Rhinolophus ferrumequinum: one gene and its partner. The protein of the gene in region 2 interacts with the protein of the main gene of each other region in a biochemical or structural test. Links are inferred from orthologs where the notes say so. Each region holds a gene or a part of one and is shown on either strand. Other genes may lie near its edges.

Region 1 (7,038 bases), on a different chromosome or scaffold from region 2:
CTCGAGGTTGCCTCTGTGAGCCTCTCATATGTGAGCCACTGGGAGATTCACGCAGGTGTCCTGGCCAATCCCCCTCCTCACCCAAACACAGATTCGAATCCCAGGGGGTGTCCTGGAAGCACAAGCAGCTAGCAGGACCCCACCTCATGAGAGACAAGCGAGCAGAACTGGGCTCCTGACGCCTTCTCACCTGGCCAAAGCATTCAGGTCCCAGAAGGGTCCAGGTGGGAAAATTGAGACCAGGGAAGGAATAAGTTCATCCCACAAGAAGGCCTAACGCTCCCAGCAGCCGGTTCACCCACAAGTCCTCCCCAGCTGTCCCGTCCCCACACGTCCAGTGGCTGACCATGTCTGACCTTCTCCAGGGGACTGTTGGCCAGCACTCCACACCCTGCAGGCAGGCTCTCACATCCAGGAGCAGCATGCAGCCTACAGCCCAGCCCTGGGACTTTGCACTCCCCGACACCCTTCAGAGCAATGTGTTCTGTGCACCCACCCTCTCCAGGCCTGCTCAGGAACCAGTGCTGCCTCACCCTCAGCAATAACCCAGCCAACTTTGAGGCCATCGCCAGCCCATTATGGGAGCAGGTGCTACCTCCAAAGAAGTGTTCATTTATTGAGGAAACACACTGTGCCACACCCCCATTCTATCGATAAGGAAACTGAGGCACAAAGACACACGGCCACTGGAAGGGCACCAGTCTAGCCCACATAGTAGACCAATAAAAAATATACCCAAGCCCTATGCTCCAGAACCTATGAAGGTGACCTATTTGTTAAAGGGTCTTTGCAGATGTCATTAAGGATCTCGAGATAAAATCATCCTGGGTCTAGGGTGGATCCTTAATCCAAAGACAAGTGTCCTTATAGATAAAGACACAAAGAGAGAGGAGAGGCTGTATGAAGACAGAGGCAGAGATTGGAGTTCTGTTGCTATAAGCCAAGCAACACCTGGAGCCACAGAAGCTGGAAGAGGCAAGAAAGGGTCCCCTCCAGAGACTCTGGACAGAGCGTGGCCCTGCCAACACCTTGATTTTGAACTTTTGGCCAGGAACTATGAGAGAATACATTCCTGTTGTTTTAAGTCACCAAGTGTGTTATGTCAGCCCTGGGAAACTAATACAAGCAGGTTCAGCTGACTCCAGAACCCTGTTCTCAACCCCACACCAATGTTATGTGAGCATAAAAGGGAAGAAAATCTTTCAGACTCCTGGGACTCTATCATCCCAGACTAAGGATCTCAGTTTGAGAAACAGACTTTTTCTTGTTTTACAAACAATGTATCAGTTACGAATTACCTCGAAAAGAGAAGTGTTATCTTCATAGCATGTAACAATTCAAGATTATCAACAAAAGCAGAAAAATAAAAGCTCTCCTGGACAAAGATGTGAATACGGGAAACTGGGTATGGAGTAGATATATGGAACTCTGTGCTATCTTCTCAGTAATCCTATAAACTTTGAACTGTTTTAAAGTAAAAGAAAAGTTTAAGCTGGAGCTTAAGTGTCTGTCCTGAGCTCTGATGCCCACCTGGGACACCCTTCTTCCCTCTCCTCGTCTGGTCCAAAAGACCCAGCTCTGCCCCAGCAAAGACAGGTGCGGCATTGGGGAAACAGACCTAGCTCCTCTAGTTTGGGTTTTTCAAGTCAAGGCACGGGGAGAACCCTGTGTGAACCAACTGCTCCACAAACTTCTCTCACACCCCATTCCCGAAGTGTAAAACAAAAATCACACAGACCAATGCAAATTAAGGGACCCGAGTGACTTCCCAGCACATCAGTGCAAGAAACTCTGAGAAACAAGGCTGAATGAAACAGAATAGCAAAAAGTGAAGGAGGAATCAGGAATGGGAGAGAAGGGATAAGAAAGTGTAACAAGAGGAAGAAAAAGGATGAACTCGGGGTCCTTGGCAAACACATTTGTATTTTTTTTTCCCACTGAAATGTCAGTTTTGAAACTAGCTTCTGAAAACATACCCAGCTTCGCATATCCCCTAAAAGGAAGATCAGAGGACTGGTGGCGCGGGAGGAAACTGCTACCTCTTCGAAGCCCGGCAACATGAAGGAGCCCCACTGGTCCACGTTTTTACCAGGAGCACATCCAGGGGCTCGCACCACCCTCGCGTGGGCCCCTCTCCCCTTATCTAGAAGTTTCCCACTCAGGCTGTGCGCACACCAAGCCCTCTTAAAGGGTGAAACCTGTCCTCTATGTCGTCCCAGACTGGGCACCACTTTCCAACTGTCCTTAGCAGTCCAGGGGGGTCCCCTAAGATGGCCAGAGGCTGCCCACACGGCTCCCTCCAGCCCGCCAGGGTGGCCACACCCGCCCGCGAGACTCCTACCTCTCCCAGGGCCCCCTCCTTCCCATCCAGCCCTCACAACCCCGGCTTCCTCCGAATTCACCTTCCATTCTCGGCCCCCCACTTCCTGTCCACCCCCTCCCAATCTCAGGGCCCTCACTCCCCGATTTCCCGCTTCCCTCAGCACTCAGGGCACCTCACCTCTAGCCACCACGCACGCCCTCTTTTCTCCCTATGCCCCTTGACACGTTCCTCCACACCCCTCACTCAGGGCCCCCCACACCCGGCTCCCTGGGCACAGCCCCACGCACCCCACACCAGGCCCCCACGGCTTGGGGCCCCTTTACCCTCCGGACGCCGGCCCCTCACCCACTGCGTCCCTCCCACCCCGGGCCCCCCGCCCGGCCTCGTGCGCAGCCCCCGCGCGGCGCACGGCCCACGGCCAGGCTCCGGGACCCCGCACTCACGGCTGTAGAGGGCGATGCCCGCCGCGTCCGGGCCGGCGCGCACCTCGAGGCGCAGCGCCTGCTGCTCCGCGTGCCGCTGGATCTCGCCGTTCGCGTCGCCGATGGTGAGGAGGCGGGCGCCGGGGAACACGGACACGGCCGCGCAGGGCCCCGCGACGCCCGTGCCCGTCACCCCCACGACTCCCGTGCCCGGCCCCGCCGCCGCCGCCGCCGCCGCTGCCATCTTAGACCCGGCTCCAGGCCCCGCCGCCGCCACCGCCGCCGCGCCCGGGCCCAGGCCGCCGCCGCTGCCGCCGCCGCCGCCGCTGCCGCCGCCGCGCAGGCCGAGGCAGAGGCCGAGCCCCGCAGCGCCGCCTGCCGACTACGCGCCGCCTCGCTGATAGCGCCGACGGCCCGGGCCCGTGGCGCAGCGCCCTCTGCCGGCGGCCCTGGGCGCAGGGAGGGAGCACGCCGGGGGACGGGGCCAGCCCAGCCCCGCCCCGCCCCGCCCCGCGCGAACGGTCGCCGCTTTGTGAGGTGGCTCCGCGTCCCAGGAACGGCGGGGGCGGGATCGTGCGTCAGAGGGCGGTGCTCGGACGCACGGACACGCCCCTAGACCTGAGACCCGCCCCTAGTGCGGCGCGGCTGGAACGGCCGCCCTAGTAGGGCGGTGCGGGTGCGGAGGCCCAGGAGGGGCGGAGCGGGAGCGCGCCAGGGAGCGGTACTCGGCGGTGTGACACGCTCCGGGTCCCGCCTCGCGCAAACCGCAGCGCTTTGTGAGGCGGCTCCCCTGCCCCTGGAACAGCGGGGGCGAGCCTGAAGCCCAACAACTCCGACACGCCCCTGAAACTGGGCTCCGCCCCGTGGTCCTGCACGGCTTTGTGAGGCGGCTAGTTGAAGTGCGGAGTCCAGCTGCGATGGGGCCCCGCCCCTGTACCGGCCCTGCTCCCTCCCACTGGGCCTTGCTTTGCTTTGTAAAGCATCGGCGCCTGGGGAGAACCAGAGTGAGGGGCGGGGCCAGGGCCTGGGCCACGCCCCCAACTTGTGGCCTCCCCCACCCCTAGCCCACCCTGCTGGAAAAGCAGTTCCAGGTGGGACTTGGTCTCTACCCCGGACCTGAACCCCTTGGGAATGCTCCCTCCTGCGGCACTCCTTCTCTCTTCCCCATCATCTCCATTCCCGTCCCACAGCGCTCCTTTCTCCCATCCTTGGCCCTTCACTGCCTTCACTGTCTCCTCCCCCACAAAACATTCTTGGACCCCCTCCCTCTGAGCCCTTCACTTGGCCCCTTGCCTCCCCTAGTTAACTCTCCCCTCCCCCAATGATGGCTGGCTAGTTGGTCCACCAGAACATGGCCAAGTGACCCTTTTCATACACACACGTATACACACATCCATCTTCCCTCCAAGTACCCCCCTCCATTGCTCCAGGGCCCCATTCCCTTTTGGGGGAGCCAAAGAGGCTTGCGGACACTTTCCATCTCCTCAGCTTCCACCCTTCCCATACCTCCTCATTTACTACTACTCTTTTTTCCCATGTCCCTCTGCCTCCACACCCCATCATTCCACCTCCTGTATCCACCAGTGCTAGGACTTCAGCAGAGACTCTGTGGGGCACTGTCCCCTCCTTGTACCCCATGGGCCTCCCCACACACCACACTGCCTGCATGCAGTTGAGGGGTACTCCCCCCACCCACCAGCTTGAAGGATTCTACTCCGTAGAGGCCTTGGGAACAGCTCAACACGTGCTATAATTAATAACTTAGGCATGCCAGCAGGGCAGACACACAGAACACACCCTCAGGTACCCTATGTTCTAAAAACCCAGTTGGGTTGGCCAAGTCAGGTGTGGCAAGGGAAGAGGAAACCATAGGGCTGTGTGGAGAGCTCAGACCTCTTGTGGCCCAGCTGGGGGCCAGAAGGGATCCTAACATTTCCTTCCTTGGAGATCTGAGAAGCTGGGAATCCAAAGAGAAGCTTCCTGCGTGCTGTCCAGCCTCTGGGCTAATGCCTGCAGCCCCTCTCCCATTCCTGCTCCTCTGTGAGGAAGGTCCCAAGGCCAGGGGTCCCTTTGTCACTGTTCAGTTCCCTGAGAAAGCAGCAGCCAGAACCCCTCAAAGGAGTTGAAGGGACCTTGGGCCCCACGCAGCCCAGCCAGTTCAAATGAGAGAACGCGGAATGGAGGGCAGAGCACGCAGAGAGAGAGGGACCCAATCCTCAGCCTCACTGGCAAGCCCGGAAGGTGCTGAATTCAGGGGGCTCAGGCGAAGATGATGTGGAAGTGGGCCTCTTCCGGGGCCCAAAGTTGCCAGGAGTCGCAGTGGAGCCTGAGAGATCATCCAGGGTGGCTGCATCTCCTTCTGAAGTAATTTTCTTTGTCCATGGAAGAAAAGTAGAGAGAACCGGGTGATTTGGGGTTTCAGGGTCTAGAGTTTCCCCATGTTCTGAGCCTGAGACTCCCTAGTCCATCAGGTCTCATCTCATGCACATACACATACCCCACAGCTTCAGGGCGTTTATCTGCCTTCTGTCCTCCTGCCTTCCTCTCTGCTGAATAGGGGACCAGGCAGCCTGGGTTCAAATCCCAGGTCCAGCACTTCCTAATGGTCTGACCACAGTTGAGTGATCTAACTCCTCTGTGCCCAGTTTCACCTTTTGCACAATGGAGAGAACGCTAACACCCCCTCCTGGGGTTGCTATAAAGCATAAAGGAATCAAATAGATAAAGCACCTGGCCTATCATAAGCACTAAACGTTTGTTAAGTGAACCCAGTTATTACTGTTACCTCCAGCCCCTCCCGTTCTGGGCTTCCTCCACCTTGAAGGCTCCTTGTCCCAAATGCTAGTCAAAAAGAAGTTTGCTGAAACTGAAGCCACTCCCAGTCCTGCTGCTCCCTAGCTAGGTGACCACAGTACAGCCCATAGACAGCTTCAGTCACCTTGTTAAAAAAAAAAAGTCAGCCACACCCCATAGGGTGTGACAAAGTCAATATCAGTGCAGTAGCACAGGATAACCTGGAGTCCTAACAGCTGCTTCATTTTCATTTCAGCCAACAGCACAGCTTTCTAACACTTGTAAAAGAAACTAGAACTGAAAGCAAGGACTGGAACACATACTTGCAGACCCCTTTTCATAGCAGCATTATTCACAATAGCCAAAAGGTGGAAGCAACCCAAGTGTCCATCAGTGGGTGACTGGATAAACAAAATGTGGTGTATACATACAATGGAACACTATTCAGCCTTAAAAAGGAAGGAAATTCTGACTCGAGTTAAAACACGAATGAACCTTGAAGATGTTATGCTAAATGAAATAAGCCAGACACAAAAGGATAAACATTGTATGGCATTATTTCTCTATAAAATGTCCAAAAAAGGCAAATCCCCAGAGACAGAAAGTAGGGTGGTGGTTGCTAGGGGCTGAGGGGAGGTCAGATTGAGAAGTTAATGTATAGTGGTGACAGAGTTTCAGTTTTTCCAAGATGCAGCCTGGAGATGGATGGTGATGACGGTTGCACAACGTGAATGTGTTTAATGCCACAGAACTGCACACTTAAAAATGATTACAACGATACATTTTGTTATGTATATTTTCCACAATTCTAAAAAAGAAACTAGAAAAGATCACTAGAATTTACAACTAAGGAAAAGAAGCACCGTGCAGTGTGTCTAGCATGCTCCCATTTGTGTTGAAAAGGGTGAGCATACACATTTGTTATTTTCACCTTTGCTTGCATTTTCCAAGAAGCTCCTAACAATGGTTAGTTACTCTGTGTGGGTAGAGAGAGAGACCAGTGGGTGGAGAAGGGTTAAGTGATAGAAGAAAATACTACTGTATATATAACTTTGACATGTGGATGTATTTCCCAAAAAAATTTTAATTAAAAAAAAATATGGGCAGTCAGTTGCCTCAGTTGGTTAGAGCACAGTGCTCATAACACCAAGGTCGCCAGTTCGATTCCCACATGGGCCAGTGAACTGCACCCTCCACGACTAGATTGAAACAACTACTTGACTTGGAGCTGATGGGTCCGGGAAAAACACACTGTTCCTCAATAAATAAATATAAACATATTATTTATATATATACATATTATATAAAAATATTAAAAATATATATATATTTATATATTATATATATCAGAACAAAAACACTGAGAAATAAGTTGTTTTTCTGTTTTTCATTGTTTCATTTTAAATATATTTGTAAAAAAGGAAAAATCACCAGGCTAGTGCCTTAAGCCTCGTGGCTTCTCACGGAAAATTTTAGAACTTGCCCTGCCTGCTAGCTTTT
Region 2 (7,972 bases):
ACATTTTAATTCAGGCTTTGGCATTTCCGGAGATTATTAAGCATGTTGTATTTAAGATGAAGAAAAGGAAGGTGAACTTCTAAATCAGAACCCACCACAGAGGAGACATTATTTAGAGATCAAATTAAATTTCAGTAAGCACTTGAGAAGGTACTAAACGAAGGGCATACTTACTGGTGAATTTTCTGAGGTCTTTCTAGCTCAGTCTTTCATTGTTACATGTATAAAGTGCTTGTGGTAATCTGAACCACTGGATAAACTGACAAGACAGAGAGTTAAGTTTCTTTCAAGAAACAAACAATGTAGGGAGAAAAATAAGAGCAATGACACTTCTGGTTTATCAATAGCACCATTAACTAAGACGTGAATGTCATCAGTAAATTCCACCGAGTCTTAAACCTTAATGTAAATAGTTTTTCTAAGGCATCTGGGAAATATAGAGCATAAACGTTCAAATTATGCCAAAGACTAATTAAAATAGATACACCACCATAAATGTAATTGGATTAAACCATAGTACCCATTTGAGAGGATTGGTTTTAAGGATCAGTCTCACCCTTTAATACTTTTCTACGGCCATAAAATATAAGTGGATATCTCCCCTGTCCAATTCAGCGAGTCCCTGAAACTGAAATGAATAGATGCACTGAGAGGTCATTATGTTACATGACATGTCTTCTTTAAAAGCCCTGGCTATTTAACACTTGATAAAATGCCAAATTCCAAGTACCTGCATCCATTGTGACATACTCTGTTTACTATATAGCCTTTTGAAGTTGGCAACTCAACATGTATCTAACTCCATAGAGTTATATATTACATATGGGTGCTTTCTGATAAATCACAGGCAAGAACATGTCAGTTTTGCATCTAAAGGAAATAACATTTGATGTTAGCATCTTATCTTTAGCATGACTTTGACAAATCAGATAAATTAAGACATGATGACTCTCTTTACGTTACTGCATTTGATGTATAAAGACTCCTGCCTTAGCTGTATCATTCTCCAAACTCTAGTTTGGGGATGTTTCTTTACGTATCTCCATAAACATTTTTTCTTGTAGGCACATTTTGTACCCTTATGAAGTATCTCTGTTGTTTTTAAATTTTTACCAAAACTAGTAGGGTGCAAGCATTTGAGAGAGAGTTTTAAAAATTCTATTTGTACAAACACATCACAGTGGAAACGCAAGAAGATATGAATTTGACTCATTATATATATGTGTGTATATATATATACATATATATATACACACATATATATGTATATATATATGTTGTAAGAAATTTGTACAATGAGCATCAACATAATTAAAAGTTCCCAAGTTTCTTTTTTTTATCTCCAGGTTTTCAGAATTATGCTTGCAAGCTGACAGTATTTTTTGATGTGACAAGATCAAGATCTTAAATTCTTGAATATATTATGAAAACTAAATTTACGAAACACAGACTGTCACTACATTAGAGCAGATTATTTGCGTCAAACTCATTGCAGAAAAGAAACATCTCTAAAACTCAGATTACTCTGTAAAAGCCACATAGCCATATTATTGAAGCAAAGAATTATAATTTTGAATTGTTGTGTTGTTGCCACCACATGACTTTTCAACTCTCAATTTTCATCCATCACAGCAGCATTTCTGGCATTTAGACCTAATACTCATGTATTTCAATACCACAGAAATGAATTCTAAATTATTTATTAGTCAACGCTCAGAAGCTGTAAATGGGATATATTACAATTAGACATCAAAACACCATGGAGAATTAGAATTGAAATACAAGTTTATAAAGATCCTTATTCAAGAAGATTAAAAATAATTTTTAATTTTGTAAATGTAGATCAGACATAACTGTCAGTTCCCCGATTTTAGGGCACCTCGTAAACTCAGTGATCTCTGTGGTCACTGCTTTCTCTCCGCACCCTGAGGCATTTCTGGGCATTTTAAATCTATGACAAGTGTAAACCTCACTGAAACTTAAAGGACTGATAAGAACAAGGAAAATTCTAGTTCTCTGCTATTTAGAAGCTAATTGACAAATGTCTTCAGATGGATATACTATTTTATTCGACAGGTATCACTGCTCTAACTGACAGCAAATAAAGAGTTCCCTTAATTTAATAACAAAATTATAAACATGCATCAGAGGAAAGCATTTCAACTTCCTTGTACAAACAACACCTAAGAGTAATCACAGATAACTGTCTGGAAATCTGTATCAGGAGCATTAATCATCAGTATCAACTTTAACATGAACAAGTATTTCTTCCAAATAAGCTAGCCTTCCCTATTCTGAAAGAACAAAAAAGCAGTTACTTGAAAACAACTCCGACAGAACCACCTACTACATTTAGCCACATACTACATTGGCTTGCAAGATAAATGTGTGAATGGCTCATTAAAAAATGGTAACATAATCAATTAATCGCACCTGAAATACTCATCATGTGTATAGACCTCCTAGTTATATTGTCTAGATGCTATCTGATGGCTATTCTTGCAACAAATCATCAAAATGCAGCATTCAGTACTTACAGACTGCTTACCAACAATACCATCTGGAAACCTTTTGCATTTAAGATTAAAGCTCCACACAAGGTTTATTGTTAGCCCCAGCAAGAGAGAAGGAACCGGAGGGTGGAGGGGAGCGCTTACTTCGAAAATGCTCCGAAGCGTAATAATAGACATCCTCATAGCCCTCGTGGTAATCCTCTTCTGGTCGGTACTTTTTCCCCTTTCTTCTCCTAGATCTTCTTATTTGCTTGACGAAACCCAGGAAGCGGTCCATCTCTCCCTGCCGGTGCAGCCTGGCTCAGCTCAGCTGCTGGGGGAACTGGTGGAGCATGAATGGCCAACACCGAACCTGGGGCTGGGAAGCGCTACCCTTCCATCTGCCTGTGCTACCATCAGCGCGGAGATTTTAGCCATGGGAGGGGGTAAAAATAAGAGCGATATGGGTTTGTCTTGACCAGATTTCTTATTTTGTGCAGTACACTGTCCAAATGTGCAATTTAAAAAGAAAAGAGAGAGAGAGAGAGTAAAATGAAAAGAAAGACTAAGAGAAAAAATAAACAGCGAAGCTTTGGGCTTCAAACAGCTTCCAAACAAAACAGAACAAAGTTCAACAAGAGATTCAGCTGAGGGGGGAGAAGTCCCAGCACTAGAATTTCACTATCCAACATCTCCATCGTCAGGGGCGCGGGTGCAGAAGAGAGGGGCGGGGAAATGTACTAGTAAATGGACTGAACCAAAGCTAGAGACCCAACGGACTTTTTCGTACCTGCTAATCCCACCCCCTCCTCTAGCACCCGTGGAAGCAAAGTGCAGTGCTTGGGGGAGCTTCTTGGAAAGCTGTTGTTTTGCAATGGGCGGACGGATTAACCCTTTGTGCTCTGTGGCGCATATCGTACTAATGAGCGCAAAGTGGTTTCATCCATACGCACTGCCTCTTACTGACAAAAGTGTGCGGTATGTGTTAATTGGAGCAGCAGGGAGAAGGCTCAGCAGCTGCTTTCAAATGACACATTTACCCACTGGGCATTAATGTATTCCAACCACTTTTTGATCTAAATATTAAAATGCGCTTCACAGAGTGGCTTCCCCATAGGCTGAGTAACAGCATACCACAATCAGCAAATAAAGGAAACTGCGTGGTGTTTGGGAACAGAAATACAAATAATCCAATTCTGCTTACAGCGAACTCAAATAAAAATCTAGCTGAGTTGTTACATTTTTTTTAAAAAAAATAGGAAAACAAACAGGCTAAAGAGCAAATAAAACTTAGTTCTTGGTGAAGATGGAGGGAGGGAGAGACGTTTCTAAAAATCCTCACACCCTCTTCATCCTTTGTCTCTAAAATCAGAACTTCTTTTTTTTTTTTTTTTTTTAAAAGTACTACAATCAGAAATACTTCAGACTAGACCAAAGAGGTACTCCAAAATCCAGACAGGTCAGCGTTAATCGTGGATAATCTTTTCCTCTCTAGCTTCTTTCTTCAGGTCTTTAAATAGATACATTTTTTTTAACATCAGGAAAAATGGAATTTGTTTACACTATAATTAATCAAATATGTCAGCATATTACCTACTAAATTAATAATATGCTGCAACTCTATGGTCCCAGAAATGTACTTTATTTTAAAAGCTGCTTACTGTATGAGTCGTTCAATATCTATGTAATGTCAAGTTTATAGGACCATCCCAAAAAGAAGTGATTGCACTTAGCACTGTCTGTTAGATTCACAGGCAATTTGTCTCTTTTGTAGATTTAGGCATTTCTCTATTTGCAGGTATTAATTACTAATGCTGGAGTAGGGAGACATTTACTTAAGAGATAAATATTTATCAACTAAGAACATTTCAGCTCTGAAATGTGTAAAGTTAGATTCAGTGAATTCGCCCTATTTCTATAGTCCCCCCTTTTTATGCCTTGCCAGTGAGTTTGTGAAGAGAAACACAAACTTAATGATATTGACAAAAAAATACTATAAAATGTCTTAAAAACATCTTTAAACAAAATTCACTTGTCCTTAGGTTCCAAATCTTTTCTTTATTATTCTGACTCCTTCAACCAAAATAAACTAGAACATCTGGAAGTTCTAGTTGAAGATCTGGAGTCTAGTCCTTGAATAGGTCACTAAAAAAAATAATAATACGTAGCCTTTTCATTTAATTCTCCTAACAACCTTTATAATGAGGTGCTACCTCTATACATGAGAAAAGAAGGTTTAAAGATGTTTTAGTGGTTTGTCCAAGATCACAAAGGTAACATTGCCAAGTATGACCTACTACAGGTATTTTTTCATACAAATTCAGAGATTATCTTGCCTAAGAATTATTTGCATTCAGTGATTCATTGTTGTCTATGTGAGTTTGCAATTGAAATGGAGTTTAAAAATAATAGTTTTTAACTGGGCTAAGCATATATCCTGGTTTATGTGAGTAATATGTCCTCAGAGATTATGCAGGCAACAAATTTCACTCAAATTACCTCTGAATTACTACAGCTCCTAAATTAGTGGAGTCTACATTATTTAAATTTTATAGTTTTAAGCTCCGAATTTGATCTAAATGGAATGACACGATAGAACAGATGATGCTTGATTAGAGAGAAGATCATTTGTGTATAGACCAACTTAAAACATTCCACCACAGTTTACTGATTTGTAATTTCAGTATTCAAAGACCCTGAGAATTTCTCAACTAGTGATAAGCAACTATTTTGAATAAGAACTAATGCAAAGTAAAACTGTCCACATACAAAACTGTTTTCAAAAGTAAACAGAGATTATGCTTAAAGCACCTTTCTATTATTTTCCTAGTTTTGAAGAATTTTATTTGGGAGGTTAACATTTCACTATCTGATTATAATAACAACATTTTTATATAAGAGGACGTTTGGTAGTGCTAGGGAAGAGTTTAAAGTTCAGCCATGCACTTGGAGAGGTACAGGAGGGGAGGTAACAGCCATGTTAAAACAATCACAGATGGTTAGGAAGAGGGAATAAGGAATTTGATGTTTAGAGGAAGTCTGCTTGGGTCACAAAGAATGAAAGAATGTGGCCATGTCCCATGCAAGGGAGAGGAAGCATGTGTGTATGTGTCACAATCCAAAAGATAGAAGGCAAGACACTTGCTTCTCTGCCTGAGGCTTGGTGCAGGTGTGTTGGATCCTTTAATCAAACTTCCTGAGTTCACACCTCTGACTTTTTCCTGTCTTCTATCCTAAATCCTTAATGTTTGAGCAATGGAGCACCAATCTAAAATCTAAAATGACTTGTGGTTATACAACAGTTAGCTAATATCCCAATACTAATTGACAAATGAATAGAGTGAAGTTCAAGTCCATTCAGTTACGTTTACAACCATTTCTGTAGAGAACCGCCCTGTTTCCTCACAGCACAAACAGTGGTAAGTGGTGCTATTCACCAGTTATTGCACTCTTCAGTCTGAACAGATGGGCTAGTTGAGAGGTTGTAAGTGGCAGTTCACAGAACAAGTATCTCCCACAATTGTGTTTGGTTTGGCTCACATAAGTGTTGTTTTGTTTATTTGTTTCTTCCTTTTAAGCTGCACCAATATTAAAAGTCAGGAATTTCACAGATCAGACATTTGATTTTTTCTTAAAAAAAAAAAAATCAAAAGATCTGGCAACTCTGGGCCCAATTCCAATATGGCAACTACTGATCAGAGCTGAGTGGTGGCTGCCACCCATAAATAAACATGCACTTTCCACTTAGCCACAGCCCCCTCCCCTGGGTCCCATTCTCTCATTCAATTACCACCTGCCCCCTGAAGGCATTTATGCTTGTAAACCATGGTTGAGGTACTGTCCTGATGAGCCAGTTCCAAAACACTAATTTCTTTAAGAGAAATTTCAGTTCCCTTATATTTTCATGTAAAGAAAACAAATTATTATGACAAATCAGTTTTAGTTGTGCTCAATGTTCACTAAACTATAAAATTAAATTTCTTAGAAAAAAATTGTTCATATGACAAAATAAAGCAAGTTGAATTATTCAACAAAATGTGTTTCAATAAAGAATAGCAAATACTAAAAAAAATGAAAAGAAAAGCGAATTCTTTTTTTTTTTCTAGGAAGTAAGCAATTTCCTGAATAGCACTTACATGGATTCCATACGCTTCTGAATTCGATTCTCCATCCCCTTTTAGGAAAAGAGAAATAGACCAACTACTGAGCTTAAATCTCCAATTTACAACCTTCCCTAGATCACTGAGTCAGTAGGACTCGTATGTGCATATTTAGATTAAGTAATAGTTACCGTAGTTTCTGAGTAGCAGAATGGAACACAGTTTACTAGAAAACTCTTTGAGATATTGGATCAATCGGACCTTATTTAGATGCCACAGTGTTTGCTTGTGATACCAAGAGCAGCGACACTGACATACTGAGGGTGGCAGAGTATGAAGGGAAAACACTGGATCCTGACGGACAATTAGAGCATTCTTCATCCGGTCAGACCCAACACCACTTGACTGTGGCAAAGGATTTGTAATACCCCCCTTTACTAGCCTAACTGAAATTCATGGATCATGTGACCCAGGTACATATAAGTTAAACATAAAATTCCTTAATAAAATACATATTTAAGTGTATTTCAATAATATGTATTAAATTGGTAAATCTGTGGCTACAACCATACCAGATGATATAGTTAGATCCTTGCACCTACTTCTAAGAAGCAATTTCAAATTTCAGAGATGATCAGGAGCCTTTCCATACAATAGAGACAAAATAAAAAGGTAGAGTCACAGGCGGACAATGCAGTAAAAATTAGTATCTTCATTTATATTAAAACTGTGAAAAATATCTCAAGTCAAAAGAATGAAAAGAAGTCACAGACGAGGAGAAAAGATTTGCAAAAGTCACATCTGATAAACGCCTGTTGCCCAAAATATACAAAGAACAAAATATAGAAATACTAAAAGAATGCTTAAAACTCAACAATAAGAAAACAAACCCACCTGATTAAAAAAATGGGCTGAAGACACTTTAACAGACACTTCACTAAAAGAGATAGACAAATGGCAAATAAGCATGTGAAAAGATGCTCCACATCATATGTCATCAGGGAAATGCAAATGAAAACAACAATGATACACACCTATTAGAACGGCCAAAATCTTCAACGCTGACCACATCAAATGCTGGCAAGGATGGAGAGCAACAGGAATTTTCCTTCATTGCTGTTGGGATGCAACATAGTACAGCAACTTTGGATGACAGTTGGTTTCTTACAAAACTAAACATATTGTTACCATACAATTCATTAACTAAGCTCCTTGGTATTTACGGAAAGATTTTGAAAACTTACGTCCACACAAAAATCTGCACTCGGATGTTTCTAACAGCTTTACTCATAATTGCCAAAACTTGGAAGCAACCAAGATGTCCTTCAGTAGGTGAATGGGTAAATAAACTGCGATACATCAGATAATGGGATCTTATTT

The links. The genes of interacting proteins can lie anywhere in the genome.
Region 1: the proteins of GRIP1 (region 2) and CARM1 form a complex in vitro, tested with the Homo sapiens proteins (2 studies listed by BioGRID). The link is inferred for Rhinolophus ferrumequinum from reciprocal best matches to the Homo sapiens genes GRIP1 and CARM1.

What each region holds. Positions count from the first base shown.
Region 1 is NC_046301.1:39,541,485-39,548,522, forward strand, and holds the start of CARM1 (histone-arginine methyltransferase CARM1), read right to left. Parts: upstream 3,003-7,038; 5' UTR 2,990-3,002; coding exon 2,767-2,989; intron 1-2,766. Other genes in the region: C18H19orf38 (protein HIDE1), read right to left, coding at 4,968-5,117. UniProt on the Homo sapiens protein: Methylates (mono- and asymmetric dimethylation) the guanidino nitrogens of arginyl residues in several proteins involved in DNA packaging, transcription regulation, pre-mRNA splicing, and mRNA stability.
Region 2 is NC_046293.1:63,342,297-63,350,268, forward strand, and holds the start of GRIP1 (glutamate receptor-interacting protein 1), read right to left. Parts: upstream 3,001-7,972; 5' UTR 2,791-3,000; coding exon 2,658-2,790; intron 1-2,657. UniProt on the Homo sapiens protein: May play a role as a localized scaffold for the assembly of a multiprotein signaling complex and as mediator of the trafficking of its binding partners at specific subcellular location in neurons.